Linked DNA regions of Saccharomyces cerevisiae S288C. The gene in region 2 interacts genetically with the main gene of each other region. Each region holds a gene or a part of one and is shown on either strand. Other genes may lie near its edges. The genes, in order: RAD27, RAD52, RAD54 and RPN10.

Region 1 (7,769 bases), on a different chromosome or scaffold from region 2:
GGGTATATTCAACGAGGATTGATCTATAGGTGACATTGACAGATTGCCTGGGGATAACGGAGTGTAGGTCATCGGTGTAGGTAATGCTTGGACATTTTCAAACGTCGGAATAGATACAGTCAAAGGTGTACTGCGAGAATCACCAGTGGTCCCTTCAGTGGATGCCATTTTTTTATCTTCCTCACCATTTTCATCAATCAATGCCTTTTCGTGTTGATCGCCAATGGAGTCGGGAAATCCTTCTTGTTTCAACCGAGGAGTCTTTGGTTGTGAATATATACTACTATATTCATCCATTGTCGGTATAACCTAACAGCTGCTGTGGGTATGGATGAATTCGAAGCGTAGATGTGATTACTATCTCAAAATATACTTGTCTAATTGTGTAAAAAAGAAAAAAAAGATAAAGAACACACCCCGCGTTGAAGATTACAAGTAAAAAACTTTCTATGCTTAGGAATAACGTTCCATAAGAGGATGGTGTGCTCAGCCTTCTTAGTTCATTTACTGGAATGTATTTAACTTTACCCTTTTCGTCTGCTAATCCATCAGTATGTGAAAAATGAAAATCTAAAAAAAAAAAAGGCTGCCTTATTCTGTAACGCAACGCGAAACATCTATAAACCAAGTAAGTAGTTTCTATGAAATGGGCAACAGCATCTTGGATGACGAAGGGTAGCATTTAGTTACGTACGTTGAGATAATCTACAAAAATTGATTACGTATTTAAAATTCTTCTCGCTTCTCATTATTCTTTCTTAGTCTTCCTCTTCTTTGTCATTTGTGACAAGATATCATTATCGCTTGGCTCTGCAGTGGCTTTCTTCCTCTTGGTGCCCCCAGCTCGCTTCTTTTGTTTAACCTCAAACTTGTCTAACTGTTCCTTACGCGATTTAGCACCTAATTTCTGCAGCGTATCATTTTTTTCTTTATACTCCTTGTCTTCTAACAATTCGCTCTCACTCTTTGATTCCAACCACTCCATAAGTTTGATTTCATTACCATAGCCTTCATCATTTTCGTATGGAGTTTCCAAGACAATAGGGATACCCTGCAGGTATTCAGAGTGCGCGATCATTCTAAACACATCTATACCCAAATAACCTTGACCCAAGCGTTCATGCAAATCTCTATTTGCTCCTAAAGGAGCCTTGGAATCATTTAAGTGAACAGCACTTAGATATTTGAACCCTATTACATCATTGAACTCTTTCCAAAAATTGTTAAACGTTTCAGTGGTGCTGATATCGTAGCCTGCTGCAAATGTATGGCATGTATCTATGCAAACGCCGATTCTTGATTTATCTTCAATCATTCCAATAACCTCCTTCAAATCTACCAGAGAACTTCCTACTAAATTTCCAGTACCAGCCATATTTTCTAATACAATTTTAACAAATTTCGTTTCCTTAATTGCTTTGTTCAAATATGAGGCTAGTTGTTTTAACTGCAACTGATGGTCTCCTTTCAAAGTAGAACCTGGATGTAAGTTATACAGGCCTATCCCTAATTGCTCACACCTGTTCAGATCGTCCATGAATGACTCATAACTCTTTTCTGCCTTTTCCCTATCCGGATTAGCCAAATTAATAAAGTATTGGCCATGCGGTAAGACGTCCGTCAATGGGTTATAATTGTAAGTTGCACAGTTTTTCTTAAATTTATCTATTTCCTCCTGTGTATACTGCGGAGAAACCCACTTTCTTGGAGATTTTAAAAACATGGCAAACGAATTACAGCCAGTGTTAAATGCATTAGTTACACTATTAGAAATTCCACCGGCACCTGACATGTGCGCACCAAATTTGTATTTCGAGACAGCAGATCTAACAAAGCTAGGTGTCGAAGGCATTACGATGGTTCCGATATGCCAAAAGCTTATTAATGTTGCGTTTTGTGTTTCTTATTCGGAGTTTGTCATCTTATATTTACAATGATTTCCAACATGTAAAGAAATGAAGAAAAAGAAACCAGGTAAGAATGAAAAATTCCACGTTCAAGTTCCCAGAAAAACTGGCAAAAAAAGAGAAGTATTAGATGAAAAAAGTTCGTGTATACAAATATCTATGTTACATATATGCCAAGGTGAAGGACCAAAAGAAGAAAGTGGAAAAAGAACCCCCTCATCTTCTTCCCTTTGTGACTTTATTCTTATTTTTGTTCAATTTTTTATTTTCTTGTGCTCTTTTCGCCGCAGCAGCCAGCTGTTCCTTTGTCTTAGGCACCACTTGGAAGAACCCATCTAACCTACCCTGAATGCCAGATTTCAAGCCTTTTTTCAATCTTGATATACCAGATTTAACTCTTTCTTCACTGAATTTCTTATCATCACATAAATACTCGATAAGTTCCTTCTCCTTTGGTGGCGACCATTTCAAGTTTATTTCGTTACCATCTATAACTTCAGGGTCAAGAAACAGCATTCTTGCTTGTTTGTAAGGCCAGTCTTCTGGGATTTTCCATTTAGTGTTGTTTGACTCCCCAGATTCAATAAACTCCACGATTTTTTCGATGGATCCATGCGTTTTTATCAATTTTAAGGCTGTCACTGGACCAACACCTCTGATGCTTTCACAGTAGTCACAACCAAGCATTATGCAAAGATCAACAAACTGCTCTATTGTCAAGTCGAGTCCTCTCAAAACTAATTCAGTATCTATTTCGTGAATCGGTTCCTTCTTGGCCTCTGAAAAAGTCAAATGTCTCAACAAGAAGGGTGTTCTATAACAGAGTGTGTCCATATCTTCACTTGCTGCGGCATACACCTTTCCCTTCTTTGCCAACTCAGCACATTGAGCCTCAGCTTCCGTTGGCGCTATTATATATGGGATTCCCATTAGTCCTAGTAATTTTTGGGCTTCTTCATTATGCTCTTTTGAGACCTTCACCAATCTTCTTTCTTGCTTCATCTTTTCCAATTCTGTTGTTGCCTCTGCCAGTTTTTTTTCTGTTTCCACCCTTCTTGAAGACCGCTTTGTCAACTCATGAGATTTCAAATCTGGAGGTTTGCCGTCGAAGACATAACAAGGCTTGATACCGTTATCAATCATTCTCAGTGTCCTATAAAACATACCCATCAAGTGTGACGTTGTTTCACCGGCTTCATTGGTCAACTGCCCACCGTCTTGCTGTCTTACAGCAATTAAAAACTGATATAGAGACATAGAGGCATCGATGGCAACCTTTCTGCCAAAAAAGCTCTTGATATCGCTTTTCCTGATAGCAGAGGGAACATGTTCCGATATAATTGCATTCAAACCTTTAATACCCATATTTTTTCTTCCGGTGTCCGTTTCCTATTTCTTTCCAATGTATGCTGTCAACGCTTTTCATCGATGTATATAAGGAAGAATACCTCATTATAATACATCAAAACCTTCATTTGCGCGATGTTACGCGTCGCGTTTCCTATAAAAAATACATAAGCTAGTGAATAAAAGCTTTAAACGCGTTAGGGGGATCTGCAATTAAAGTAAATAAATGAAATAAATGAAATAGATGAAAAACTGGTTACACTAATTATAACGTTAATAAAACTAGTTGATAATCAAAATATTGCCATAGCTAAGCCAATAGTACAGCGTTGGCTTTCTATCATAACTTACCAGCCGGGTGCCCAATCGGGTATCTGTCACCGAAAGTCACTGTTAACGAGGTGTGATTCAGCCGGGTACTAGTCTAGCATTTTTTTTCGCCTGTTTTTTTCGTGAAAAACGAAAAGTGGCAAGCAAACTTATATCACTTTCTACTTCTTTCCCTGTTCTTTTTGTTTATTGGCAATGGCCACTACCACATCCCCATTAACGAAAGTCACCAAAGTGTGTCATTTAATACTACGGTTAGTGACAGCATTTTGTTTAGATCTCAACTAGAGAGGATTATCAACTGCTAAGCCCTTTACACGTTATCTGTGATCCTGCTGCACTAGGAAACGTTTCAAATCACCATATTTGCAATTTCACAAGGATGGACAAATTAGTCGTGAATTATTATGAATACAAGCACCCTATAATTAATAAAGACCTGGCCATTGGAGCCCATGGAGGCAAAAAATTTCCCACCTTGGGTGCTTGGTATGATGTAATTAATGAGTACGAATTTCAGACGCGTTGCCCTATTATTTTAAAGAATTCGCATAGGAACAAACATTTTACATTTGCCTGTCATTTGAAAAACTGTCCATTTAAAGTCTTGCTAAGCTATGCTGGCAATGCTGCATCCTCAGAAACCTCATCTCCTTCTGCAAATAATAATACCAACCCTCCGGGTACTCCTGATCATATTCATCATCATAGCAACAACATGAACAACGAGGACAATGATAATAACAATGGCAGTAATAATAAGGTTAGCAATGACAGTAAACTTGACTTCGTTACTGATGATCTTGAATACCATCTGGCGAACACTCATCCGGACGACACCAATGACAAAGTGGAGTCGAGAAGCAATGAGGTGAATGGGAACAATGACGATGATGCTGATGCCAACAACATTTTTAAACAGCAAGGTGTTACTATCAAGAACGACACTGAAGATGATTCGATAAATAAGGCCTCTATTGACCGGGGATTGGACGACGAGAGCGGTCCTACTCATGGTAATGACAGCGGTAACCACCGTCACAACGAGGAGGATGACGTCCATACCCAAATGACGAAAAACTATTCTGACGTAGTGAACGATGAAGACATCAACGTTGCCATTGCCAATGCCGTCGCAAATGTAGATTCTCAATCAAACAATAAGCACGATGGAAAAGACGATGATGCCACTAACAACAATGATGGCCAAGATAATAATACTAATAACGATCACAACAATAACAGCAATATCAATAACAACAATGTCGGTAGCCACGGCATTTCCTCCCACTCACCATCCTCCATACGAGACACGTCTATGAATTTAGACGTCTTCAATTCTGCTACCGATGATATACCGGGCCCATTTGTCGTTACCAAAATTGAGCCCTATCATAGTCACCCACTAGAAGATAACTTGTCACTGGGTAAATTTATCCTAACTAAGATTCCAAAGATTTTACAAAACGATTTAAAGTTTGATCAAATACTAGAAAGCTCTTACAATAATTCTAACCATACAGTGAGTAAATTTAAAGTTTCTCATTACGTGGAGGAGTCCGGTCTTTTAGACATTTTAATGCAAAGATATGGATTAACCGCCGAAGATTTCGAAAAAAGGTTACTTTCCCAAATAGCCAGACGTATAACGACGTATAAAGCAAGATTTGTTTTGAAAAAGAAAAAAATGGGCGAGTATAATGATTTACAACCTTCTTCATCTTCCAATAACAACAATAACAACGATGGTGAGCTTTCTGGCACGAACTTGAGAAGTAACTCTATCGACTACGCCAAACATCAGGAAATATCAAGTGCGGGTACCTCATCGAACACAACCAAAAATGTGAATAATAACAAGAATGACAGTAATGACGATAATAACGGCAACAATAATAATGACGCCTCAAATTTAATGGAAAGTGTGCTAGATAAAACCTCTAGTCACCGGTATCAACCCAAGAAGATGCCAAGCGTCAATAAATGGAGCAAGCCAGATCAAATAACTCATTCAGACGTGTCCATGGTTGGCCTAGATGAATCAAACGATGGCGGTAATGAAAATGTCCACCCAACCTTGGCTGAAGTAGACGCTCAAGAAGCTCGTGAAACTGCTCAGTTAGCCATAGACAAGATCAATTCTTATAAGAGGTCCATTGATGACAAGAATGGTGATGGCCATAACAATTCGTCGAGAAACGTGGTAGATGAAAACTTGATCAACGATATGGATTCAGAAGATGCTCACAAGTCCAAAAGACAGCATTTGTCAGATATCACACTGGAAGAGAGAAATGAAGACGACAAACTACCACATGAAGTGGCGGAACAGTTAAGGTTACTGTCATCGCATTTGAAAGAGGTAGAGAATCTACACCAGAATAATGATGATGACGTAGACGATGTAATGGTGGACGTGGATGTAGAATCGCAGTATAATAAGAACACAACTCATCATAATAACCATCATAGCCAACCTCATCACGATGAAGAAGATGTTGCTGGACTAATAGGGAAAGCCGATGATGAAGAAGACCTTTCTGATGAAAACATTCAACCAGAATTAAGAGGTCAATAGATACCCAGTTGAGAAGACGAGCTATTTTTCTCATGTTTCTTTTGTTTATTCACTTTTCTATACTTTTTCTTTTCTATTGAAATATATATTATATCTTATGTATGTTTTTTTGTATTATAAACAAGCAAATTTCGTCTTGCCATTTACCTTCTGATATTAATCACATGTATATCTCAATTCAAGTTTTTGTTAAGATAATCAGCGAAAAGCGGACCGATCCTATCTTGATCTATATCTCTTAGTTTGTTGAAGTTAATGAATTGCCTTTTCAATCTCTGCAATTGCGCCAACGTAACGACGTTACCAATGGGCAAGTCTACGAAGAAGCAACCATCATCATTGATATCGGTAATCCCTTCGGAAACAATGACTCTTGTTCCGTTACTTACCCCGCCAATAGAAGTCAGGCTTTTGATGTGGTTCATTATGGTTTTTATTATCTTACTAGTTTCGATGTCGAGAACCTGGATGAAATTGGACTGAGACGCAGGCTTTAGTACCGTGGCTGAGTTCGGTTTTTGTAAGCCCTTACTCAACGGATCATTGTGTCCACTGTTTTTAGCCGATTTGGAAGTTTGAAAGACTACTTTACAAATATCGTCGATGTAGTCAGTTATGTTGTCCTGAGGAGTAAGAATAGCAAAGAGTGGAGAGTCCCATCGGTTGCTTGAGTTAGGCTCTTCGTATCGTTGAATCAATTGATTCAATAACTCGGGTTCCCAAGGGTTCGGGTTTGAAGTCTTATTCCACTCGAATATAGTCTCTGGTGGACACAGTGTTTGAATTACACAAAATGTGGTGGACAAATTTTTCACCTCGCAGTGAAGTTGATACCGGAAACCCTTGATATAATTCAACGAGTCTACAATGACTATCTTGTTTTTAGATAGATCTCTTTTCACTGCGGAGATGATCTCCGACCTCAATTTTCTTTCATCTTGGGAAGTTATATAATCTGAATGTTTTATGCCTAAAGATTCATCTGAATGATAGGTTATGGAATATTTACTTAATGATGGGGTTGCATCGATCTTGGACTGTAGTAGTTGTACCAAATGTTTAGCAAGCGTTGTCTTACCACTACATGGGTATCCCGTAAAAAGCACCAGTGGCATCTTCTTACTAAATTGCCTGTTTAGTTTTTTCAAAAGTTTTACAAGGTCCCTTTACCCTCATTCTGATACGTTATTGTTCAAGTTTCACCTGTTCATCAAGTATTCTTCATTTCTTTTTCCATCGCGATGACGATGACAAAACGGCAAAAAGTCAAAGAAAAAGAAAAAAAAAGATTTTTTTTCCATCATATGCAGAGAGAATATGTCCAAGCCAAGCGCAGTGTGCATGTATGCTGTTTTTAGCATATCGGGTGTGCGAAAGGAATGACATAATGATTTGCAACTAATATTTCCTTATATAAATATGCTTCTGGATATGAGTCTCATGAAACAAGTTCAGTAATTGCTTGTTTTACCCTTACTTTTTTCTTGGTTATGACTTGTGTACATAATAAATTGCCTATTTTCCCAAATTGTGTCCTTTTTCCTTTCCGGTTGGTATGAGATATTTCTTTTCAAAAATCAAAAGAAAACAACAAAGGGTTGATATTA
Region 2 (8,026 bases):
TTTTTTATTACATTTCTTCATTACAGTCGAAATTAGCTGTTCATTCTTTTGTCTCTCATCATAATTTATTTACAGCAAATCGAAGAGCCAAATTACTTCTTTCCAAGCTTATTTTCCAGGTCGCTTAGTTCCTTTTCTAAGTTCTTGATTTCCTCTTCGTTCTCAAGGGTCTTCATTCTTGCCAATTCGGCTCTTTTTCTCCTTGCCTCCGTTTCTTCCTCCCTTCTCTCCAGCTCTTGGATCCATAACTTTTCTCTCATCTTGGCTTTCTCCTTCAATTGTTCCTCCTTCGCCTTCAGTTCCTTACCAGAAGTCCCATAGATAAATGAACCTGCGACTAGTGCGACTAGTGTGGCCGCTTGTAGACCCACACGCCAACGGAAGTAGTACTGAGCTTTCCATTTATTACCAAGACGAACATTTTGAGCAGCCAGAATGACAGCTCCTGTAGTCAGCAAGCACCCAATGGGTACCAATGGCTGTTTCTTACAATGGTATATAATCCTTTCGCCAAAGGTCATATCATCCAAATCCCTCTCCGTAACATCGAAACTAGATGGCATGCGTGACATCTTGAACGTATAACTGTGATGTTATCGCTTCTAGTACCAGGAATTGAATTAATTCCGATAGGAAGCATTGCTTCCTCTTCTCTATACTTTTCTTTACTATTATTCTTGAAGCATAAAAGGGCCCTCCTTGATTCGCTACCCGGAAACGATAAAGGTAGCTTTTTGCTCTTTTTGCTCATATTAGGCCTCTACTAAAGCATTTGTGCGGTATTCCAATTTTTATTATTGTATTTATCTTACATGAAATGGGAGGAGGGGTGCTCCTCGGTTGAATTGTATTACGTAGCATTAGGGTTGCCTGAGGCGTACACTTCTAGAAACCAGTTCGCCAACTTGGCCACGTCTGCATCCAAATATACGTCGTTCAGAGCAACATTGTATTCAAGTACAATCTCCATAAAAGCACTGGTGGACAGCTGATAAAGAACACTGATCATGTCAGTAGTGTCTTTCATGCTATCTTCGTCTTCACTGTCTTGTTGTACTCTATCTTGGGCTGTCCTTTGTGTTTGGAAGGCAGTGTATGCCATCGATTCCGGATCCCAATCGGCAAATTCACCCAGTGCACAGATGGACCTCTCCAAAGTCTTAAGAATATCCCCAACGGATGCAATGATACCGCCTTTTGGATCTTCTGTCTTTGATCGGATCAGCAGTCCTGTCAGTGCTACCACACTATTTGCGTGGCATATGGGCAATGGAACCAGCTTCTCAGCTTGCCTTTTCTTGGAAATGGACCATATGTCAATTATCGAGATTTGGGCTTTGTTGGAGCCATTTGGTAATAGTCTGTAATTGTCGCTTTCATCAGATGATTGTCTTTCTGCGTAGGAAGGGAAAATAAACGACATTATAGAATTTTTCAGTTTTTTTAACATCAGACGCATAGCGGTCATAAATGTTGTTTCGTGGGTGAAAATAGAGCCGTTAAAAGTTTGTGTCGTTTCATCTAAATCGTTGTCGTAATACGAGGACCTATGCCTTTTCTTGTTTCCGCGGTTAAGCAATACACTATCGTCAGTTCTTACCCTCAGCCTGTTTGGTGATTCATCTAATAAGCCGTTATCCCGTAATGGCGCCATCATAGAGGGTCGGTTCCCAAAGAGTCTTTCGTTGGCGCTTGTTAGTTTCCCGTTCTCATACATATAATCTAGATTTTCTACTTTTTTTTTATGTCTAGCAGTTGCAGAGCCCCCAAGATCTTGTACTGATCTTAGGTACTGCACAACCTTTTCATTGTTTATCTGAATGGTCTTCAAGCATTCATTGAGGATTAATGACCAAGTATTACCACTACTGCTTCTGAACTTGGAGTGATATATTGGTGCTCGCAATGATGGATCCAGTGAAGTGGCCCTATACGCTAGTTCCTGGTAGGCAGTCAACCTAGTAAATGGCTTGTCTGCAGAAAGCCCACTAAGCAGGGTTTCCATCGGCGTCGACGACAAATTCGAAATTAGCTTGCCCTTGTGCAGACAACCTATGGACATATGTGCGTCAAATGCTATATTTATGAATTCGAAAGTGATGAAGATAATGCAGGAGATTATTAGTAAATTTGTGACAGCTAGCACGCCATTCGTAAATGAATCAAATAATCCCGATTTTTGCCTGGAAAAAAATACTGTGGTAAAGATTGGTAATACGAACATGCTGATTACACTTAGAATGACTGACTTCTCCATAATCCTCTTGACACGCTCTAATACGTAGTCTTGTGGGGCCTGGAAAAAGTTTTCGCAGTTGAACGACAATTTGTCAGCGTCAGTGACATGATGTTGTAGGTTGTAAATCGTGGGAACGACTAGCCAAATAAACAGCTTATAGTATGGCTTCCATCCAGATCCGCCACGTCCGAAAACCACACCCAGTACGAATGATAAAAGGATGCTGCCCATGCTATAGACTCCCTGGTATACAAGAAACTTTACTGATAACAATTGGCCTAGAATGAAAGTAAGTGAATTAGCGAACCCAAAATTCTTTACATGCATGTAATTTTTTCTTGTCACAATGATCAAAAGGGAAACTAGGTTAAGAGCTAAAATATTGGGAATAAATGCCAATGCCAGTTCCCATAACGGTGAGTGTGGCAACGCCAGCAGTGAAATCACCACAGTTTGGATAATAGAACATATGAAAAACAACCTCGTAACTAAATGGTTGAATCGGGTCTTGCACACGTCGCTAAAGATGGTATGGTACGTGTACCGTGGATTCAACAACTCCCTTGGCGTCTGTATCATCTGCTTGCCCTGTAATGTCCTTTCGTCTTCTCAATCACACTTACTCATCGCCAAAGAGTCTGCTCTTCCCGTTAGTGATTCTCGATGTTATTATATTCTTTAGTCTGTTAAGAAAAGACGAAAAATATAGCGGCGGGCGGGTTACGCGACCGGTATCGAATGGCGTTTTTAAGCTATTTTGCCACTGAGAATCAACAAATGCAAACAAGGAGGTTGCCAAGAACTGCTGAAGGTTCTGGTGGCTTTGGTGTGTTGTTGATGAATGAAATTATGGATATGGATGAGAAGAAGCCCGTTTTCGGTAACCATTCCGAGGACATACAGACCAAATTGGACAAGAAATTAGGACCTGAGTATATCTCCAAGAGAGTTGGGTTTGGAACAAGCAGGATTGCATACATCGAAGGTTGGAGAGTAATTAATCTTGCTAATCAAATCTTTGGATATAATGGCTGGTCTACGGAGGTAAAAAGTGTAGTTATCGATTTTTTGGATGAGCGACAGGGAAAGTTTAGCATAGGGTGTACTGCAATTGTTCGTGTTACGTTGACTAGCGGGACTTATAGGGAAGATATTGGGTATGGTACCGTGGAGAACGAAAGACGGAAACCTGCCGCTTTCGAAAGGGCCAAGAAATCTGCCGTTACGGATGCCTTGAAAAGATCTTTGAGAGGGTTTGGTAATGCTCTAGGAAATTGTCTTTACGATAAAGATTTTCTGGCAAAGATCGATAAGGTGAAGTTCGATCCGCCAGATTTTGACGAAAACAATTTGTTTAGGCCAACGGATGAAATCAGCGAAAGCTCAAGAACGAATACTTTGCATGAAAATCAAGAACAACAACAATACCCGAATAAAAGAAGGCAATTGACTAAAGTTACAAATACCAATCCCGACTCGACGAAGAACCTGGTGAAAATAGAAAATACAGTAAGTCGAGGTACCCCAATGATGGCCGCACCTGCTGAGGCTAACAGTAAAAACAGCAGTAATAAAGATACTGATCTCAAATCTCTCGATGCTTCCAAACAGGATCAAGATGACCTTCTCGATGATTCTCTTATGTTTAGCGATGATTTTCAAGACGACGACTTGATAAATATGGGCAACACAAACAGTAATGTTTTAACGACAGAGAAGGATCCCGTTGTAGCTAAGCAAAGCCCAACTGCTAGCTCAAACCCAGAGGCAGAACAAATCACCTTTGTTACAGCTAAGGCTGCAACTTCCGTACAAAATGAACGTTATATTGGTGAAGAGAGCATTTTTGATCCCAAATACCAGGCACAATCCATTAGGCACACCGTTGATCAGACTACGTCCAAGCATATTCCAGCGAGTGTGCTAAAAGACAAAACGATGACCACCGCGAGGGATTCTGTCTATGAAAAATTTGCACCAAAGGGAAAACAATTGAGCATGAAGAACAATGATAAAGAACTGGGGCCTCATATGCTAGAAGGGGCTGGGAATCAAGTACCGCGTGAAACCACACCAATTAAAACGAACGCTACAGCTTTTCCGCCTGCAGCTGCTCCACGGTTTGCGCCGCCTTCTAAGGTAGTACATCCTAATGGAAATGGTGCAGTGCCAGCCGTTCCGCAACAAAGATCGACACGAAGAGAAGTTGGAAGACCAAAGATCAATCCCCTGCATGCACGCAAGCCTACTTGAAACGCTTCCTGGCCGAAACAAATAAAAAATTTGCATCATTATTTATTACTCCAAAATCCTCTAGTTACTCTTTCAATTCTGATTTTATTTGTATTTCTTCCTATATCGTCTAGTTTTTCTTTCCTCCATGTGTCGTATTAATATTTACTTTAAATCGAATAAAAAATTCTTATTATTTTACAAGTCATTTTCAGGATTAGATTCATTATAACTTTACAAAAGTATTACATAAAGAATTATATAACAGATATTAGGATAACCGTATAAATAGAATAAACTATACAAATATGGCAACTCGGAAAAACAATAGATCATTAAGTTTGAGAAGAGAAAACTACGTTTGAGTTTCATTTTGTGGGTTATATTTTGTTTTCAGCGGAATCCTTAGGTTCATTGAGTTCCATCGGACCTATCCATTCCCAACATTTCATTATTTCACCTCGAATTTCAGTTAAGTTCGATTTAATATTACTGTTATTATGCTCTAAATATTTTACCACTTCTGACCATAATTGATTTTTGTATTTCAGATCGACAATATCAGAAAGAAAGATGTCACGCAATTGAACTATGCTCAAATACGCGTTTTCTTTCGGATCGGACATTGATTTAATCTTTTGGAATTTCAATTTTTCCATGGTTTGAGTAACGAGTTCTTCAATTCTTGCCTTCTTTCTATAATAATTCTTCAGCTTGATCTCGATTACTTTACTAATGACTATCAGTAAAAACATTAGCCATATTGGCCTTTGAAATTTTTTATACGTTTGGTAGATTTCTCTTTCAAATCGACACTTCATTCCAATGTATTTCTTGGACGTCGACCGAAAATTCCTCGTCTTGGAGATGAATTTTTCTGGAAGATGTCTCTTCTGTCTCGGAACGTCATTGGTTTTAATGATGTTGTTGGAATTTCCGCCAATGTTGTTGTCAGTGGGTGATAACTAGAGAAAATTAGGAAAAGATGTTAGTAAATAAATCAAAAACAAAAAAAAATTCAAAAAAAATTAAAACTGTTATCATATAATAACAGGTTTAATAATTTTTGTAAGATAATAAATTGTACTCACTTGCCTCCATAATATTTCTGGTTCTTCAGTTAAATCTTTGATAACTTGGATCCACAGGTCCTCAAATTCATCGTCGCGAATCCAAGGAGCTCTAGCCTCATTAAATATTTGATAGAGGGCATCTTCCGTCATACCACTCTCGATGTCGTCTTTTCCGTCACCGCATGAAATTTGTGCATTTTTGGCTCTCAGAAACTCTAAAGATTTTTCAACCACTTCGGAAACTAACTGCTGTTTTTTGTCGTCTTTAACACATTTGCCTTGTGCAGGAATAATTTCCAAAAAGTCAAGTCTAGATGGTGCTAACTTGTAATCTGGCTTACATTTAAGTTTCAAATAAGGATAACAAATACCATTGGGTGGACAAGGGATACATTTCGGTCTGTAGTCCTGCAACAAATTATCCAGTTTTTGAATAAACTCGAAGGAATTGCCACTAACTCGATGGGATGGTACTTCATGCCCACAGTAACCTATGAGCAGTCTTTGCTCTCTATACCAGAGGCCAAATAAGAGAGGAATAACAATGAATATGCAAAATAAAAATAGCGCCAGTAATGATTTGCTCAAAAATTTGAGTGCTCTTTTGAACTTATGCCTGTTCCCGACCTTCCCAGATCCTTGCTTAACATCAAATTCACTCCCATTTTCATGCTCTAATTGCTCATTTACTTCCTCTTGAAGTTCTTGCACTCTTGCTTCACACTTTTCGACGTCTTTCTCTGTGGGTAATTGGGGAGTCTCGATCCTTGTAGGCACTAAAACTTCATCTTCATCCGATACCAAGTTACTACTATCTGTATCTATCATTTCGACCACATTATTGCTGGTATTACCCATAGGCTGATGAGGACCTGGCGTGGTGATCTCTGGAAGCAAGGGTGCTTCCGACTCTGAGCCAGAGCCTTCGGACGAAAACAAAGACGGTGTTCTTTCACTCTGAGAAGGTTCTTGCTGTTCCACTTCTGGAACCAGTATTGTAGATGGTACCTCCTTTTGAGGCAATTTATCCGCAAATGAGGCAGAAACTTTTAACTTACTCAAGGGTGTGCTATGGCCTGTTCCATTGGCAGTTCCGAGCTCTTTTGGATTGTGTCGTATGTTCGGTACAAATGGATCATTTTCCGTACCGCTTGAAGTCAACGAATCGTTAAAATTATCCATGCTTACTGGCTTTCTATTTGTGTTCTTTATTGGTGTTTTGACGGAAAGTTTTCCTAAAATGGCAGAGCCATTTCCATGCTCTTGGTTCAAATCACTCGTCTTACGCTTTTTTGCCTTCTGGTAATCCTGTTCAATTTCTGAATCTGATGATAGGAGGTTCAAATGCTTATTATCGATTTTATTTTCCTTTGAATTAGATTCAGACCAGTCGTCAGAATCAGGGTCTTTCCTTTTCTTACGAGTATCGGAATTTTGCTGGAAATCATTGGTGTCTGATTTGTTGGAGCTTGATGTTATCACATCATCCTCTTCATCGTCCACTTCATCGGTATCCGTTCCACTAGGTACAATTAAAGGATCGTCTTTTTTATCATTGTCATCATCATCATCATCATCATCATCATCATCATTACTTACATCATCCAGTATTCTATTCTTCTTAAACTGTTTGGCCATGGGGGAAGCAGATTTCTCCCTGCGAGCTCGTCTACTTCTACGAGGGGAAGCTATAGATGGGGAAGATGAGGGACGGTCCATTTTCACAATACCTTCATCGCTGGGCCGAACGTTCAGATACATTTTCCGTAACTGCGGGATCTGCGGTTTAACCTTTTCATCGAACAGCCCCACCAGCGCATTTTTCCTAGCATTAGATGGGAAATCGACATTATTTTCTACCAATATCCTCCTCAAAGTCGCAACTTTCATTGAATTCGGATCAAAACCGTCCTCTAAATACTCCAAGTCACTATTCATCGCGGCACTAACTGAGTACTGCTACCGTTCTACTGTTTGTTGTTCTGGCCTCTACGTTCACTCCGTATGGTCTCAGTCTACTATTAATAATGACTGAGGACTATTTCTCTTCCATGTATTCCGCATAGTATATTGACAGCTATACAAGTAGATCGATGTCCAGATTAGCCACCACAAATTGAAACCAAAACAAAAACAAAGGGGGCTTCCTAAAACAGTAATTTTGAGGGCTCTTTAAAACCCTTGATTTCCGTTCAGGGTGATCAATATATATATCCTAGTTATTTTATAGATGCCCTAACTTTATTTTTAGGGCACGTGGGGGTCTTCTCTTTTCTTTTTTCATTCCTTTTTCATCTTTTTTTTGCGCCTGGCGATGATGAGAAAGGAGTTCTAGTAGCACAAGGTTTAAAGGATATTATCAAAAAATAGATAAATTTTAAAAAAAAAAAAAAGGCATCTCTTGACGACTTTTCTTCTCTCTCTCTACAGGCAGAATTAGCAGCGTTTCTCGTATACTAGTCAATTATCGGATATTAATAGT
Region 3 (9,193 bases), on a different chromosome or scaffold from region 2:
GGGCCAGTCAGTTTAAGAAGCTACTGCATTCTATTTGGCTATTTTACGGGTACACGTTCGGCGTACCATTTATTACCATGCAAGTATTGAATAGAGATGAGCACTCGGAGCGCAATAGAAGCTTCAAAAGTGTTCCTGAATTGATTTCCGTTTACGGGTACGCTAACTTGATCTGGATACCCGTTTGTGTTATATTGAATATATTGGATATGTCCAAGCGCCTGAGGACTGTTCAAGCAATTCAATGGGCAATTGTGGCTCTTGGGTGGGCACAGTCGTCTTATTTCTTGAATTCTCAAATATCGAGTAATAATAATACGGAGACACAATCGAACGGGAAATTTTCGCTGTCCATCATCGTTGTCGTTGCGCTGCATACTTTATTCTGTCTATTGTTCAGGTTTATAATATTTTGAAAATATGCGCACGTCTATACACACAATACTTTTTATGACTAGTATCATTGTATACTCTTATTATGTAGGGTTATACATGAGTGTTTATACGTTTTCTGTGTGTACATATATATCCATATATGTTAATGCTAAATGCAAGTTTTGTGATGCTATTCATTAGAGATGCCTTTGTCTAAAAATCAATGCTTTTATAGTCATCATAGGTTATGTCGTAAATGGTTTTATCCTTAAATTTTAAGGAGATTTTGGATGAAATGTTTATGTCAGCTCTGGTAAAGCCTTTTGAAAAAGTACATTTATCATTTTTTGGGAAATTAGTGGAAGAAGAAGAATGCTTTTTCTTAATGCATGGTAAACAAGGTGTGAGCAAAACCAACTTATCAATATGCTTAATCAACTTGCGTGAGCCTGTACCCTCAATGACATCATCCGGTATGGCAATATTCCGCAACAGCGTGCCTCGATATAGCCGAATATCGTCAGGAGTCAAGACGTACCGCAACTTGTTCGAGATCATTGGCATTATAGTATCGTCTTGAAGCAAAATCTCAATTTTCGCATTACATTTTATTTTTTTCAAACGACATTTGTCACAACTTGGGCCACTTCTTTGTCTCTTGGAAATTGAACTAGTAGATGTGGCAGAGGAGGTTGTCGAGTTGCTCGTTGAGCGCGAAATTATAGACATTTGAGTGCATGACGCATTAGCGTCTTCATTGACCATGGAAGCAAGAGCATGAGGATGATACTCAAACAATGGTGGAGTGTAATTTTGTGGAGGGGGAACAATCGCACTTACGGGGAGCGTTGGCGGCGGCGTCACCGTGGCAATACCAATAGCGCACTCATTACTGTCAGCGGCAGCAGGCTTTAATCTCTTATAGCCTCCTAAAAGCTCGTCAGTCGGAAAAGCCCGCTTCCTCGTCCAAGTGGTCGACAAGAGTTCTGGATCGGTGATGCCCACATTTTGGGTGCCTTTACGCCGTATATCTTTTTCTAGCAGGGAAACATTGGGGAGCAATAGCGGTGGTAGCGATCGATCTCTATTTCTTACTGTAATGCTTGTGGACATCTTCTTTTGACATACGATGACCTCAATGATTTAGATTATGTGTTGCACTTTTATAGACCTACCAAAAATCCAGTGCGTACACTAATACTTTCATAAAGATACCTGAAACAATAACCAGAAAGATCGGCAAAAAAATTTTTTTTCTTTGCCGAGATCACAAACCTACTATGACGAAAAAGCTTGAAGTTTAGATGAGTAAGGAAAATACAAGTGACGCTTTTATATGGTGCAAGGAACAAAAACTAAAAACAACAAGGCAAATGTGGATCTGTCATGTATGGCAACGACAGCAGGATGGCTCACAAAAAAAGACAAAAAAAACTAAGGCAAAAGAACAAAGCTCCTCTCCTGCTCAAGAAACGTATTGTTGAAAAACCACCGTCGTAAGAAAGTTTTTCTGTGACCTATAATGGTTTAAAATCGGCCCATTTTTTTTCCCTCTTTTGTGGTCCAGTCTTTCTCATACTCGAGGGAAATTCGACACAAACAGCGGAGAAGTGTGGCTAAACCGGCAAGTGCCTGCAAGATCCACAGAACTAACCGCACGAACTGGCGGTCAGAAAAGAGCCTGTTCCGGAAAGAGAGAAACAGAGAAACGATCATGATGGGAAAGCGGGGATTCGGCGAAGAACGAGACTGGAAAGGGAAAAAGAGAAATACTGGTGGAAGTATTCGGACCTTTGGCGAAGTCCGAACCCTTGAAACCCAAAGATGATCGATGATTCATTTTTCAATGCGCTACGGTTCCTGCCGCTCGTGGGAACCCCACGCAAAACATATTATTCGCTTCTCTCTGCTGACAACTCCGGTTTACGTTATACCGTATTAGGATCACTATAAGGGTTCCTTCGGGAGGAGGGGGGAGGGGAAGAATGTACATCGTCATAAGGCCTTTATGGTGTGAAGTGGGTTTTGCGTGGAAAATTCGTTTTCAATGATATAGAGCCCACGCATATACGTACATACTAGTGGCCAAAAGCGTGGGGTGGGCGGACAAAGCTACACTGGTAAAATACAGGATTCTATGAACAATAACAACAACCAGCTCACGTTGCTGAACAGCCGAGGTCAGCCGATGCAACCGAGGTTTCCAAAGTAGCATTTCTGTGCTAGCTATGTCTGTAGGTTTACATTTAATGGTGCGTGGTTCCAGCTTCATGTGCTTGCATGTGATGTCCTGCAGATGGTAAGAAGATTCTGAAAGCCGCGCTAGGAGAAAAATATTCTGCTCGAAGATCTGTCCTCTTAAGTAGAAAGCGTGAAATTGTTGCGTTCTTGCATTACTACTCAACGCGTACGCAAATGCGTCTACTGCACCTGCATGATAAAGCTTATGTATCAAAAATTTAACATCTTGAAAATACACAAGTGGTGCAAAGATGTGTCACGTTCTGGACCTGAGTGGTGCCATGTATGCTATTTAACATGCAAAGGGGAAGACCCTTCCGCCTTACTGCAATAATAAAAAGTATTTTACGCGTTACCCAATATAGCAAAGTTTCGCGCAAAAAAAAAAATAAAAAACAATTACAAACAAAAAGAAAAAAAAGGAAATAATAGAAGATCTAACTGAAGCGAAGGCCAAAACTCTTCTCACTTGACGTAATAGCCGATACAAAATCTAGAGCAGCAACTTTTCTCTTTCTTCACTAAAGCTGCTACGAAAGTATAGAAAAATCAAACGCTCAGAACTTAGCTCTATTTCAAGGTACCATATATATTTCCTTATAACTGATGGCAAGACGCAGATTACCAGACAGACCACCAAATGGAATAGGAGCCGGTGAACGGCCGAGACTGGTACCTAGGCCTATTAACGTACAAGACTCGGTGAACCGACTAACGAAACCGTTCAGGGTCCCGTACAAGAACACGCACATCCCGCCCGCTGCTGGTAGAATCGCCACCGGGTCTGATAATATCGTAGGAGGAAGGAGCTTGAGGAAAAGATCAGCGACTGTATGTTATTCCGGCTTGGATATAAATGCGGACGAAGCAGAGTACAACAGCCAAGACATAAGTTTTTCTCAGTTGACTAAACGACGGAAGGATGCTCTTAGTGCTCAAAGGTTGGCCAAGGATCCGACAAGACTGAGTCATATCCAGTACACTTTGAGAAGATCTTTCACTGTGCCAATCAAGGGATATGTACAAAGACACAGTCTGCCATTAACGTTAGGAATGAAAAAAAAAATTACTCCAGAACCTCGACCTCTACATGACCCTACAGACGAATTTGCCATAGTGCTTTATGACCCGTCCGTTGACGGTGAAATGATTGTCCATGACACATCTATGGATAACAAGGAAGAAGAATCAAAGAAAATGATCAAAAGCACACAGGAAAAGGATAATATTAACAAGGAAAAGAATAGCCAGGAAGAAAGACCCACACAAAGAATAGGACGCCATCCAGCTTTGATGACAAATGGTGTGAGAAACAAACCGTTACGTGAGCTACTCGGTGATTCGGAAAACTCTGCGGAAAACAAGAAGAAATTTGCTAGTGTCCCTGTGGTTATTGATCCAAAACTGGCCAAGATTTTAAGACCCCATCAAGTCGAAGGGGTGAGATTCTTATACCGTTGTGTCACAGGGCTTGTCATGAAAGATTACTTAGAAGCTGAGGCGTTCAACACTTCAAGCGAAGATCCCTTAAAGAGCGACGAGAAGGCACTTACTGAATCTCAAAAGACTGAACAAAACAATAGAGGGGCCTACGGCTGCATCATGGCCGATGAAATGGGGCTGGGTAAGACATTGCAGTGTATAGCACTTATGTGGACATTATTAAGACAGGGCCCGCAGGGTAAAAGACTTATCGACAAATGTATCATTGTTTGTCCATCTTCTTTAGTCAACAACTGGGCTAATGAATTGATAAAATGGTTGGGTCCCAATACTCTAACTCCGTTAGCGGTTGATGGGAAAAAATCTTCAATGGGTGGTGGTAATACAACAGTTTCGCAAGCTATTCATGCCTGGGCTCAGGCACAGGGAAGAAATATTGTTAAGCCCGTTTTAATCATATCGTATGAAACATTACGTCGAAATGTTGATCAATTGAAAAACTGCAATGTGGGTTTAATGCTGGCAGATGAAGGGCACCGTTTGAAAAACGGTGACTCTTTAACATTCACAGCTTTGGATAGCATCAGTTGTCCTAGAAGAGTTATATTATCTGGTACACCCATTCAAAACGATCTTTCCGAATATTTTGCTCTACTGAGTTTTTCGAATCCTGGCTTATTAGGTTCCAGAGCAGAATTTAGGAAAAATTTTGAGAATCCAATTTTGCGAGGGCGTGATGCTGATGCTACTGATAAAGAAATCACAAAGGGCGAGGCGCAATTACAGAAGCTATCTACCATTGTCTCCAAATTTATTATCCGTCGTACTAACGATATTTTGGCCAAATATTTGCCTTGCAAGTATGAGCACGTTATTTTCGTAAACTTGAAGCCGTTGCAGAACGAGCTCTACAATAAATTAATTAAGTCAAGAGAAGTGAAAAAAGTAGTAAAAGGTGTTGGTGGGTCTCAGCCCCTGAGGGCTATTGGTATTTTAAAGAAGCTATGTAATCACCCTAATCTCTTGAATTTTGAAGATGAATTTGACGATGAAGATGATTTGGAACTACCTGACGATTATAATATGCCGGGTTCAAAAGCCAGGGACGTACAAACAAAATATTCAGCTAAATTTTCCATTTTGGAAAGATTTCTCCATAAGATAAAGACCGAATCCGATGATAAGATTGTTTTGATCTCCAACTATACCCAAACCTTGGACCTCATTGAAAAAATGTGTAGATATAAGCACTACAGTGCTGTACGGTTGGATGGTACAATGTCAATTAACAAAAGACAAAAATTGGTGGATAGGTTCAACGATCCTGAAGGCCAAGAGTTCATCTTCCTCTTAAGTTCTAAAGCAGGTGGGTGTGGTATCAATTTGATTGGTGCAAATCGATTAATTTTGATGGATCCGGATTGGAATCCTGCTGCTGATCAACAAGCTTTGGCACGTGTTTGGAGAGACGGTCAAAAAAAGGATTGTTTCATTTACAGATTCATATCGACTGGTACCATAGAGGAAAAAATCTTTCAAAGACAATCTATGAAAATGAGTTTGAGTTCATGCGTGGTCGATGCGAAAGAAGACGTTGAAAGGTTGTTTAGTTCTGACAATTTAAGACAGTTGTTTCAAAAAAATGAGAATACGATATGTGAAACACACGAAACATACCATTGTAAACGTTGTAATGCTCAGGGTAAACAATTAAAGAGAGCCCCTGCAATGTTATATGGTGATGCGACAACTTGGAATCATTTGAACCATGACGCATTGGAAAAAACAAATGATCATCTACTAAAAAACGAGCATCATTACAATGATATCAGTTTTGCATTTCAATATATTTCACATTGATCTCTTACATACATGTACTTATAAAACAAAAACAAAAAGTAGAATTCGATCGTCGGGGGGTCATTACATATTTATTTTAAATGATGGGCATGGTTATATATATTTAGACGTAATAAACAATTGAAAATTGGGGCCAAATTGGTAAATATCTCTATGTATTTCAATCAAAAAAGTATAATCGTATAACTTAAGGGTAAAAAAAGTTGAGCGATGTCATATTATACTTGTGCTAGCTTTTAAATTTTTCATTATCTTCAGTTTTATCGTGGTAAAGTGCCAGCCGAAACTGCCAAAAAAGATTATGGCAAGAAAATCTCACGCTGTCAGGGAAATAAAAATCTGATACAGTTTCACACTCTCAGAAGGATTAACTTTAACTATTACCTAACACCAATATCTGAAGAGAATGGATGAAATTCTTGCCAAAGCAGGTTCACAAGCCGTTACATTTGCTATAAAATCCGGAATATCGATAGCATCCACATATGCGCTAAAGACAATAACGAACTTTGTCGTCCAGATTCCTAAGGATGATGCTAGAAGAATAGATCAACTGAAATTTAAACTGGAAAGCCGCATGGCTATTGTATCCAGTGCAATTGACCTAATAAAGCTGGTAGCGGCGAGGGGAAACACGAATTTGCAAATCACTCTGAGGTTAACCAAGGATTTAAAAGAAGAGATTGATAGGTTTGATGAGAAGATCAACGAAATGACGCAGAAAGTTGAGGGTTCCAGGAGCGCAAAAACACAGAATGAAGCTATTAAAGCGGTAGAAAACTATATAAAGGACTTGCTATTGAGGATCGAAGAAATCACTCCATTCATTAATCTTTCTTTAACCACTTCTGGTGCCAACTTGAACAGCGCACTCCCATATCAACTTTCTCCTGGTTTATTATTAAAAGCCTCCGATTTCGTTAGCGAGAACAATAGAAAGTATGAAAAGGCAATGAAGAGTAATGAGAAAGGAACAGGTGACAAGGAGATTCTAAAAGTTCAAGTGGGGCCTACATTTGAGGTTACACTATTCTCTATTTTCTATAACCTAACTTCAGAAAACAATGGGCAATCAGGAATTGTTTGGAAAGAGGATATGAAACGTGCAAAAGCAAGGATATATAGATTGAACTCTACAGGCAGAAAGTATGATTATTTTATGAAAATAGAACAAGACTTCAATGACGGTAGATATCATGAGGATGATGACAAAGAAGACACACCACAGGAACTTGCCATAGATCTGAACCATATTAAGAAGCTGTTTTTCAGTGTTTCCGGTAAGCTTCTCCGATTAGAAGAACAGGATTCTCCAGTGTTGGTATTGAAGATTGACCGGAGCGATGACAAAGAAAATGAGAGCAGTGAAGGAGACAAGGGATTACTCGATGACATTACTTGGTATGCGGTAAGCGGATATGAAGCGATAGAGGAAGATGAAGAGGAAGATGAAGAGGAGGACGAAGAGGAAGGAAAAGACGGAGAAGAACGAAAGGAAGAAGAAGAAGAAGAAAATAAATTGGAGGACAAGGATTCGTCGATCACACTACTGGAGTACATCATTCGGCTGACGTCCTTACAAAGTAACGATCAGAAAAGTATATTGGAAGTGAGTGATGAAAGGTTATCTATATATTTGAACGATGAAAATACGAACTCCAGAAAGGATAGAATAAGCAATTCGACAATTGAAGAGACAGAAAAAAAGTTAAAAAACCTAAAACTTTAGGATGGTTACGTATCCTGTGCAGCCTTGGACAAATTTTATAATTGTATATATCTATGTATATGTATACGAATGGAAAAATTTATCCGAATCTCGGCCCGACTGCCAGCTTGCCGGGAGAACAAACAACCGCCAATATATGTATATGTATATTTATATAGATGTCCAGATGCATTATTGTGAATGTGAGTTATGCGAAGATACTTGTTTGTATAGCTCGTTCAACTCATTGATGGAGAATGGAATGTCAATATCGTTTAGTGCTGTGTTCGTAGTTGTATATGCGCTTCCTGTTTCATTGATACTAACAGGTTCCATAGATATACTAGGGCTTTGCTCAAGCGGATCGAGGGAAGCCAAATCAAGATTGTCAATGCTGTCGGCCTTAATTTCTCCGTTTTGCAGAGGTGGCTTCAAACTCGGCAATGTGGTTGTCATGTCTACATCCGACGAGCGACCATTTAGGCCCAAAAGAACGTCCAGATCTGCAATACCGAGACCATTGACATGCGCTGCTTCATCATTTGCCCTTCTGTGGCATGACCCTCCCTTTGATTTCCGGCTGCTTTTCCTCTTGGTATGACATTTACAAGGTTCACCCTCATCACAACGACATCGTGTTTCATCTTCCTTGCTGCCAACAGCTGGCCGTCGTGCAGAGGCACACATGCACCCACCGGATGGGTTGAAGTTCTTGGTTCTTCTCAGCTCTTTACAATGGCCACATGTGGTCGATGGTCTTCCCTTGCGTCTGATCATCTGTAGCGGACCATCAGTGTGAGTACACTGCGCCGCCCTGTGACCCCTGATACACGTTTCACAGGCATATTTGACCCCGTTAATTACGACCATTCTGTGAATACACTGATTATCAGTCCTCTTTTATCAAGCCGCCGTCTAATAAATTACATCGCCATGGCTACTGCTATTTCGTCCACAGCTTAATACTTACCGAACCAGGCCTTGCGGCTCTTACCCTGCGTGCCCGCGCACCCTGGCGACTTCGCCTCGTTTTGGCGATTTTCTTAGCAAATATTCTTTCACGATCGTAGTGGTGGAAGGTGGGTGAAAAGAGTTGCGTTCCTAGCAAGGATCGGTTGGTATCAATTGCACGTTCAGCTCATCCCTAGATAACCACTTAACAGCAAAGCCGATCGTTAAACTTTTGTATTCTACATTCTAGTTGCATTTTTTTTTTTTTTCATTTTGTTACATCAAGACAAGATTCTCTATTTAAAGAAGTACTTTTTTTGTTAACAGTGTGGACCCTACCTATCGTTATATCGAGATCTTGTTCCCTAGGCCATCGTACACTATAGCCCTTCCTTCAAGCACTTAATAGAAAAACCTCTTTTTCTACACCATCATAATAGTGTTTGCTCGCCCCGTTCTTTCCATTCCCATTTATAACAATACTAGTAACTATAATAATATCCTTACGACTGGGCAAGACAAGACGAAGCAAGGCCAGCACAGACGTAAGCTTAAGTGTAAGTAAAAGATAAGATAATTATGAGTGACAATCCATTTAATGCGAGTCTTCTTGAC
Region 4 (7,282 bases), on a different chromosome or scaffold from region 2:
TTCGTTGTTTTTACTGTCATGATATGAAAATTGTAAAGCGCCGTTGGCTAATAATTCGATGATCAAATCGTCATTTTTCCTGACGGATCCCTTACGTGAAAAGGCATCATTTAACTCACTTAGGCCCTTCGCCAGTGTGTCTTTATTATTGGCCACATCGGGATGTTTAGAAATAGTTTTGACCAGGCCCTCCTTAAGATGCTTAAAATCTGTATTCCTTACGGGAGTTATCTTGGCTAGCATTCTCATTCCAGAATCCAGTAAGTCATCAATCATCATAACGGATTTTGAGTCATCACGTTTCAATAATCTAGCTAGATTCTCCTTAGGAGTCTTAGAATCATCCACATCAAGGAAATATTTATGTAAATAAGTTTCATTTAGAGTGTCTGAAACAAGGTTTTCGTCATTTTCAGCTAGATAAAGACCCAAGGCATAGACCTTGAACCTCAAAAACGTGACGTGCCTTTGACCATATCCCAGTAATTTAAAAGTTGTAGAGACAGGGAAATTTAAAGCAGTAATCGTTAGTGGGAAATCTGATACGCTAGAGTCTACCTGTATCGATTCAGTATGAGAAGGAAAAGCATCAGTTTTATCGTCATTTTGTACCGGACGATCACGGTAGTATAACGAAGTAGCGAGCAATGTTGACGCCGCAAACCAGGGCCAATAGTGGAACGTCGAATTAGAACGCCCAGGGTATTTAGTGGCTCGTATACTAGTAAAATTTCTTTTGAAACATTGCCAATGGTTGGTTGATGGAGATTTCTGACATTTAGCTAGTGTTCGCTGGAGTGATTTTAGCATATTGGCGCACCTTCCTCTGTCCATGAAGGGATTCTATCGCGGTTGTAACGCCGTAAGAGTTTTGAATTGATTTTTTCTTGTCAAAACCGAATAGCATTGTAAACATTTTGAGGGGTCCCTCCTAGAAAAATTGAGTCGAAAGGAAACTCAAAAAAACATCATTAGAGTATATGTGCAGCTTTTGGAACAGCGTATGTATTATGTAATTGTATGTAGAAGTCGGCGAAAGTGTCCTAAGATAGAGAGACGAGTGCATCGATTACTTCCTTCCTAGCCTCCGGAGAAGGAGGATCCACAGCAGCTAGGTAGTGGGCAAATAAGAGCTTTCCAATAAGGGGTTCCTTCACTGTGCCCAATATCACAAATTCATCCTTCTTTCTTGCGTAGTAAGACAAATTCATAGAGCAGTCCTTATTCAGCTCAATGAAAAAATCATCATCTCGAGCCACAAGTCCTTTTACGCTCCTGAAACAGTCATGCAATTCTTGGAATCCAGCTTCCAGCCGGTCTTTGTCTTGAGACTGAGAATCTGGGTTCTTTAGGACGCTCTTTTTGGTGCCGTCCATCAATAACTTGAAGGAACCTGCTTTTATCGGAGTATTCTTGGACATTAGTCTGATTCCGCTGTCTAAGAGGTTATTAATCAGGATAGGGGCCTTAGCAGGATCGTTCAAAGCCGCACGCAAATTATCCTGATGTGAGTTTTCCGGTGATGGGGGTGCCGCAGTGTCGATGAACGCCTGAGACAGGAACTTTGAGTCCAGTACTTCAGAGACCAGATGTTTGTCTTCAGCGGCCACATATATGCCCAGACCATATGCTTTGAAAGTGATCGATGAGACACAACGTACACCCTTACCAATCAGCTCATATTGCGTGGAGAAGGGCCACTGTGGGGGGCCCATCTTCTTAGGGAACGCAGAGATGGATGCGTCCACTGCAACGCTGGTGGCATCCGCCTTTTTGATCTGGGAATCGTCATACCATTTCTTCGCGAATATGGATGCCAGTGCTAACCCTGTTAACACAGGCACTACTTTGCTGCCCTTCTTGTTCACACGAGCATTGCCCGCTGTAGTAGAGTAGTGAGAATACCATTGTGGGGCCCTCCTCATACCTACCTCTAGGCAATTTGTTTTCACCAAAACTTTACTGATTAAACGCATGTTTCCATATACCTGGCCTTCTGCTAAGTAGACATGTATTCAACAAGGGGATGTAACCACACGCTGCTTTAATACCAACAAATCGGCCGCTGATTAGTAATAGGTGCATCATTGCGAATACCGAGAAAGGGTCCATTATACGAACTAATCATTCTATACGGCGTCCTTCCTGTTCAAGCACCTCTCTGATTAGTTCCTTTGATTGAGGCGCTGATGTTGCATCAGGCTGCTGGAGCAGATTTAGTTTCTTTAACGTCTCCTCTTTAATATTTTCGATCAGTTTTTCTGTTGTTTCCACTGAGGTTGTGTTAGTAATTAGTGCGGGTGAAGGTTGGGGGTAGAGTGTTGCGGTGAGGTGACATACGTTCCAGCTGCATTCGATGTAGTATTGCGCTGCGCAACTTCTGCCGTTCTTCGGGAGTGAGAGCCGGTATCATCGTAACCGAGTGCGGCAGCTGCCCTTTTGCTGATGTTGTTGCCACTTCTTGTTTACAATTGTATTCTCTTGAAGTTATATGGCATTATAGCTGCCGGGTTATTTCCGCCAGGCGGGTTTTCGCCACCGGAATTTACAACTAAATACACACTTATATCAGACTTTTAAAGCGTAAAGAAAGAAGGGAAAAGTCAATAAATAACTCAGCAGTAACCGCACAATGGTATTGGAAGCTACAGTGTTAGTGATTGATAATTCAGAGTACTCTCGCAATGGCGACTTTCCTAGGACAAGGTTTGAAGCCCAGATCGACTCGGTAGAGTTCATATTTCAAGCCAAGAGAAACAGCAATCCTGAGAATACAGTGGGTCTTATCTCTGGTGCTGGCGCCAACCCCAGGGTGTTATCTACGTTTACCGCCGAGTTTGGGAAGATTCTTGCTGGACTACACGACACGCAGATCGAGGGTAAGCTGCATATGGCCACTGCGTTGCAGATCGCTCAGCTGACTTTGAAGCATCGCCAGAATAAGGTCCAACATCAAAGGATTGTGGCATTTGTGTGTAGCCCAATAAGTGATTCTCGAGACGAATTGATCAGATTGGCAAAAACACTGAAAAAGAATAATGTTGCCGTGGACATCATCAATTTTGGAGAGATTGAACAGAACACGGAGCTTTTGGATGAGTTCATAGCTGCAGTGAACAACCCTCAAGAAGAAACTAGTCATTTGCTTACTGTGACGCCTGGCCCCAGACTGCTGTACGAGAACATCGCATCTTCACCCATAATTCTCGAAGAAGGATCCTCCGGTATGGGCGCCTTTGGTGGGTCTGGCGGTGATTCCGATGCCAATGGCACATTTATGGACTTCGGGGTAGACCCATCAATGGACCCAGAACTGGCAATGGCCTTGCGTCTGTCTATGGAAGAAGAGCAGCAAAGACAGGAAAGGTTAAGACAGCAGCAACAACAACAAGATCAGCCTGAGCAGTCTGAACAGCCTGAACAACACCAAGACAAATAGTAGTGTACAAAAATATCTATATGGGTCATATATAAACCAAATAAAGCATATATAACATCTCCCTTCACTCTTCCAGGTTTGAGTACGCTTCCTCTAAATAGGGGACGACTTGCTTTCTGGTGGCCTCGACGTTCAGTTGCTTAAACATCGCCACACCTCCATCAAGATTGCCCCCAAATAATTGAAGTTGGAGCTTGTCGCTAACCCTTTCAATGAGTTCACGTACCACGTTAGAGTCTCCCAATATGACCAATTCTCTGTGTGAATCACCAGCTTTCCTCCATGAAGTCAACAGAACCAATACATCGAGCCCCCTCTCCGCCTGAAATCTTCTGCATTGGTTGACGAAATCTGCTTCACCACCGTGTTCATTGAATAGCCAAGACATTCTTTTTACTATTGATGAAAGACCAATCTCTAACCCTTTGTGTCCCTTTCCTTGGAAATTGAATTGTTTGTAGTCCTTCTTTAGAATATCGCTTACCGAAAATCCTTTAATATCGTTCTTTCTTGATTTTATCTCTTTATAAAACTCACTGCTGTCCTCTAAACCTTGCGCAGACACTTCATTAACCGCACCACTAAGAACAGCTTGGCATCTCTCGATAGCTAATTTATCACTTTCCTCGACTTTGCGCCTCATATTTGAAGTGTCTATTAAGATGGCCCCCATCAAAAGTGGTGCAATGTTCATCACCACTTCACGGTCACCTTGCAATTTTTCATACCAGTAGTTAAAAACCAGCGATGAGCAACTGCCGGACACTTTTACAATCCGAGGTTCAGCATCCAAATGTTTTTGCAAGTCAAAATGGTGGTCTATAATGCCAACGACGTTATCTATATAATTTTTCAAATTCTTTGGTGTATCGTTATTATCTACCAAGTAAGAGTTTAATTCAGTACCCTGGGAGACATTTTGCTTCAAGCTCTTTAAATCTTCAATGAAGAATAATTCCTCCTCCTTAATTTTCAGTTTTTCTAGGACATACATTACGTCTCTTCTTAAACTGAGGTCTTCTCTAGGAATGTCGATAATTGGGACAATAAAGCTTCCTTTCTTTTTCTCCTCCGAGTAAGTACCTTCATTATATATGTATTGGCAGTACGAATAAGTGATTGCACTAGCAATTGAGTCCATATCTGCTGACTCGTTACCAACACATATTGTTAACACATCGTTGCTTGCAATTTTTGAAATTGGCAGTGATTTTAAGTGTGCCAAAAATTCAGGAACCGTCTTTCTCAAAGGCGACATCTTTCTTAACAATCGGTGTTTTGAACTTTTTGATTATTTGTTTCAAGTGGCTTTAGTTAATTATGTACACTTCGTTTCTTTTTTCTACTCTTAAAAGTGAAAAAAATGAAAAATCAGCGGCATGTATAGCATACAGATAATAGGAAAAAGGTTGTGAGTTATTCTTCGAGACTATTTCGACTCGTATTCTAAATTAGAATTCAAGTAGGTGGATAATGTGACAAAATGAATGAAGGTTAGAGCTTTACACAGAGTATTATCCTCGGCGTTTTCTATCAAAGCTTCTGGTTATTCCATACTTTTTTCAAGGACAGCAGAAACATATGCCATTTTACACCTCCTGGGAAAATAATTTGTAATTTTCTAGTGACTCAATGCTTGTTGAAAGTGATCTTGTATAATGAGTGTACACATGAGATGTGCAAATTTCTTCATTACTTAGCGAGAAGTGTACACTCTTGAATATAATAACACTAACAGTGGAATCATCGGTAATAATAATACTATTGATCGTAGTGAAAGCAAAACACGACTGTACTTGAGTTATAAATTTTGTTGCTGTAGAAATTTCAGTGATCATTCATTAGCAACTTATTAAGATGACGATTATATTTTACGGTTCTTTTCACAAACCATTATACTTGCTAAAGGTTGTAAAAGTCATACACTTTTTAACATCAAGATTTCAGTACAACAATTTCTTACATGTAAAATCGTTTGCAAATTAAGTTCGCCAAATTGTATCTTAATTAAAATCTATGTGTTCAGAAGTTGAATATTGGTAAAAAGAAACAAAATGTATAAACGAACGAAAAAGGAAGTGATCAAAATAGAGTAAGGAACCAAGGCATTAGGTTCACCCGAACGTTATCATATATACGCTCATATTATTCCAAGAAAGACACATTTGTCTAGATAGGTTTCGGTAAAGGCGTCCGTAGTTAGAGAGTAGATGGCACTAACTTGAAAGCAGGAAAACAAACAATTGTGTTCCAGAGCAAACTCGAACTTTCTATCTGAACCATTGCATGACGTAAAATTATTATTACAACCATAATGAAACATTTCTACAGTATATCTTTAATATTATTTTTTACTTTAGTGTCCTTATCGATCAGTCGCTCTTTCGCCAACTAGCCGCCAATTGCAAAAGCCGATAAGCTTATTTCCCCTCAAGCCGTCAACAAGAACTACAGCAATAACAAAGAGAGTGAATGCAATAAAGGTGTGCGCAACAGTGTAAAATGATACTAAAGCTTGTACACTGTTTAGTTGCTCTTACAGGATTAATCTTTGCAAAGCCGTATCAACAACAACAGGCAGTTTTAGCGCCGTCGCAGGATGTACCATTAAGAGATATCCATATAGGGGATATAAATTTTATCCATACAACCGATACTCATGGCTGGTTGGGGTCCCATCTATCACAAAACGACTATGATGCTGACTGGGGAGATTTCGTTGCATTTGTAGATATACTTAGAGAAAAAATTTTACGACAGTCCAGAGACGTAATAGTCATCGACACTGGCGACAAACGAGACGGTAATGGTTTGAGTGATGCTACTTGGCCCCCCGGCCTACGAAGCTCGGAGATATTCAACATGATGGATTACGATCTTTTAACGTTAGGTAATCATGAGCTATATACAGCTGAAAGTGCCATACTAGAGTATAGAGGAACTTCTCAGTCCTCAAAATTCAAAGACAAATATGTTTGCAGCAACGTAGAATTTATTGAAGATGACGGAACAAGGGTTCCTTTCGGGAATAAATACATTACATTCGAGACTCCCATAATGAAACAAAGAGTCCTGGCATTATCATTTTTGTTTAGTTTTCAAAGAGCAAATAACAGAGCCATCGTAACACCACCATTGGAAGAAATAACTCAAAAAAGCTGGTTCCAAAATATGGTTGAGACAAACAGAGAGGAGGAAATCGACCTAATTATTGTCTTTGGTCATTTGCCTGCCACTGACCCTACAGAGCGTGAAATGCACAAAATTCATGCTCTAATAAGGAAATACTACCCAAATACTGTTATACAATATTTTGGAGGGCACACTCATATCAGGGATTTTGTACAGCTGGACTCAAAATCTACTTGTTTACAAAGTGGTAGATTTGCGGAAACTGTGGGATTCTTGTCAATTAATATGACTGACCCTGTGGACGCCGAAAGTCCTATTTTCTCAAGAAGGTATATTGACTTTAACAAGGAAGCTTTCAAATACCATTTGAGCAAACTAGGGCATGACTCGAATGTTCCAGTCTCAACGAAAAAGGGTAAAACTATTTCTCGTTTGGTGAATGATCTGCGCCATGAACTAAATTTGAACGAGAAACTGGGGTACATTCCTCAAACTTACTACGTTTCAACAAGGCCATTAAACTCCGAAGAGAATCTTTATCATTTGATCACGCATAAGATTTTACCCAATTTAATTCCTCCCAAAAACTATGAACCTTCGATGAGTCGTTTCATTTTGATTAACACTGGCTCTGTCAGGTACGATCTTTACAAAGGCCCATTTACAAAGGATACTGAGTATATAGTGATGCCATTCAATAATGATTGGCGC

Evidence for each region.
Region 1: mutations in RAD52 (region 2) and RAD27 are lethal when combined (synthetic lethality), as found in Saccharomyces cerevisiae (13 studies listed by BioGRID, with this or other methods).
Region 3: mutations in RAD52 (region 2) and RAD54 together harm fitness less than expected from each alone (positive genetic interaction), as found in Saccharomyces cerevisiae (9 studies listed by BioGRID, with this or other methods).
Region 4: mutations in RAD52 (region 2) and RPN10 together harm fitness more than expected from each alone (negative genetic interaction), as found in Saccharomyces cerevisiae (5 studies listed by BioGRID, with this or other methods).

What each region holds. Positions count from the first base shown.
Region 1 is NC_001143.9:222,604-230,372, forward strand, and holds RAD27 (multifunctional nuclease RAD27), read right to left. Parts: upstream 3,273-7,769; coding exon 2,124-3,272; downstream 1-2,123. Other genes in the region: serine/threonine protein kinase PRR1, read right to left, coding at 1-297; DNA-(apurinic or apyrimidinic site) lyase APN1, read right to left, coding at 749-1,852; DNA-binding protein ABF1, read left to right, coding at 3,967-6,162; KTI12 (Kti12p), read right to left, coding at 6,336-7,277. UniProt on the Saccharomyces cerevisiae protein: Structure-specific nuclease with 5'-flap endonuclease and 5'-3' exonuclease activities involved in DNA replication and repair.
Region 2 is NC_001145.3:208,981-217,006, reverse strand, and holds RAD52 (recombinase RAD52), read left to right. Parts: upstream 1-3,076; coding exon 3,077-4,492; downstream 4,493-8,026. Other genes in the region: respiratory supercomplex assembly factor RCF1, read right to left, coding at 93-572; NDC1 (Ndc1p), read right to left, coding at 851-2,818; SRC1 (Src1p), read right to left, coding at 4,852-5,436, 5,563-7,482. UniProt on the Saccharomyces cerevisiae protein: Involved in DNA double-strand break (DSB) repair and recombination. Promotes the annealing of complementary single-stranded DNA and by stimulation of the RAD51 recombinase.
Region 3 is NC_001139.9:190,433-199,625, reverse strand, and holds RAD54 (DNA-dependent ATPase RAD54), read left to right. Parts: upstream 1-3,222; coding exon 3,223-5,919; downstream 5,920-9,193. Other genes in the region: YIP5 (Yip5p), read left to right, coding at 1-416; SUT1 (Sut1p), read right to left, coding at 589-1,488; YRB30 (Yrb30p), read left to right, coding at 6,326-7,648; CUP2 (Cup2p), read right to left, coding at 7,820-8,497; Ca(2+)/Mn(2+)-transporting P-type ATPase PMR1, read left to right, coding at 9,158-9,193. UniProt on the Saccharomyces cerevisiae protein: Plays an essential role in homologous recombination (HR) which is a major pathway for repairing DNA double-strand breaks (DSBs), single-stranded DNA (ssDNA) gaps, and stalled or collapsed replication forks.
Region 4 is NC_001140.6:496,447-503,728, forward strand, and holds RPN10 (proteasome regulatory particle base subunit RPN10), read left to right. Parts: upstream 1-2,632; coding exon 2,633-3,439; downstream 3,440-7,282. Other genes in the region: AIM18 (Aim18p), read right to left, coding at 1-834; AIM46 (Aim46p), read right to left, coding at 1,044-1,976; NBL1 (borealin), read right to left, coding at 2,125-2,273, 2,341-2,413; PPX1 (exopolyphosphatase), read right to left, coding at 3,504-4,697; SMN1 (Smn1p), read left to right, coding at 5,942-7,282. UniProt on the Saccharomyces cerevisiae protein: Multiubiquitin binding protein.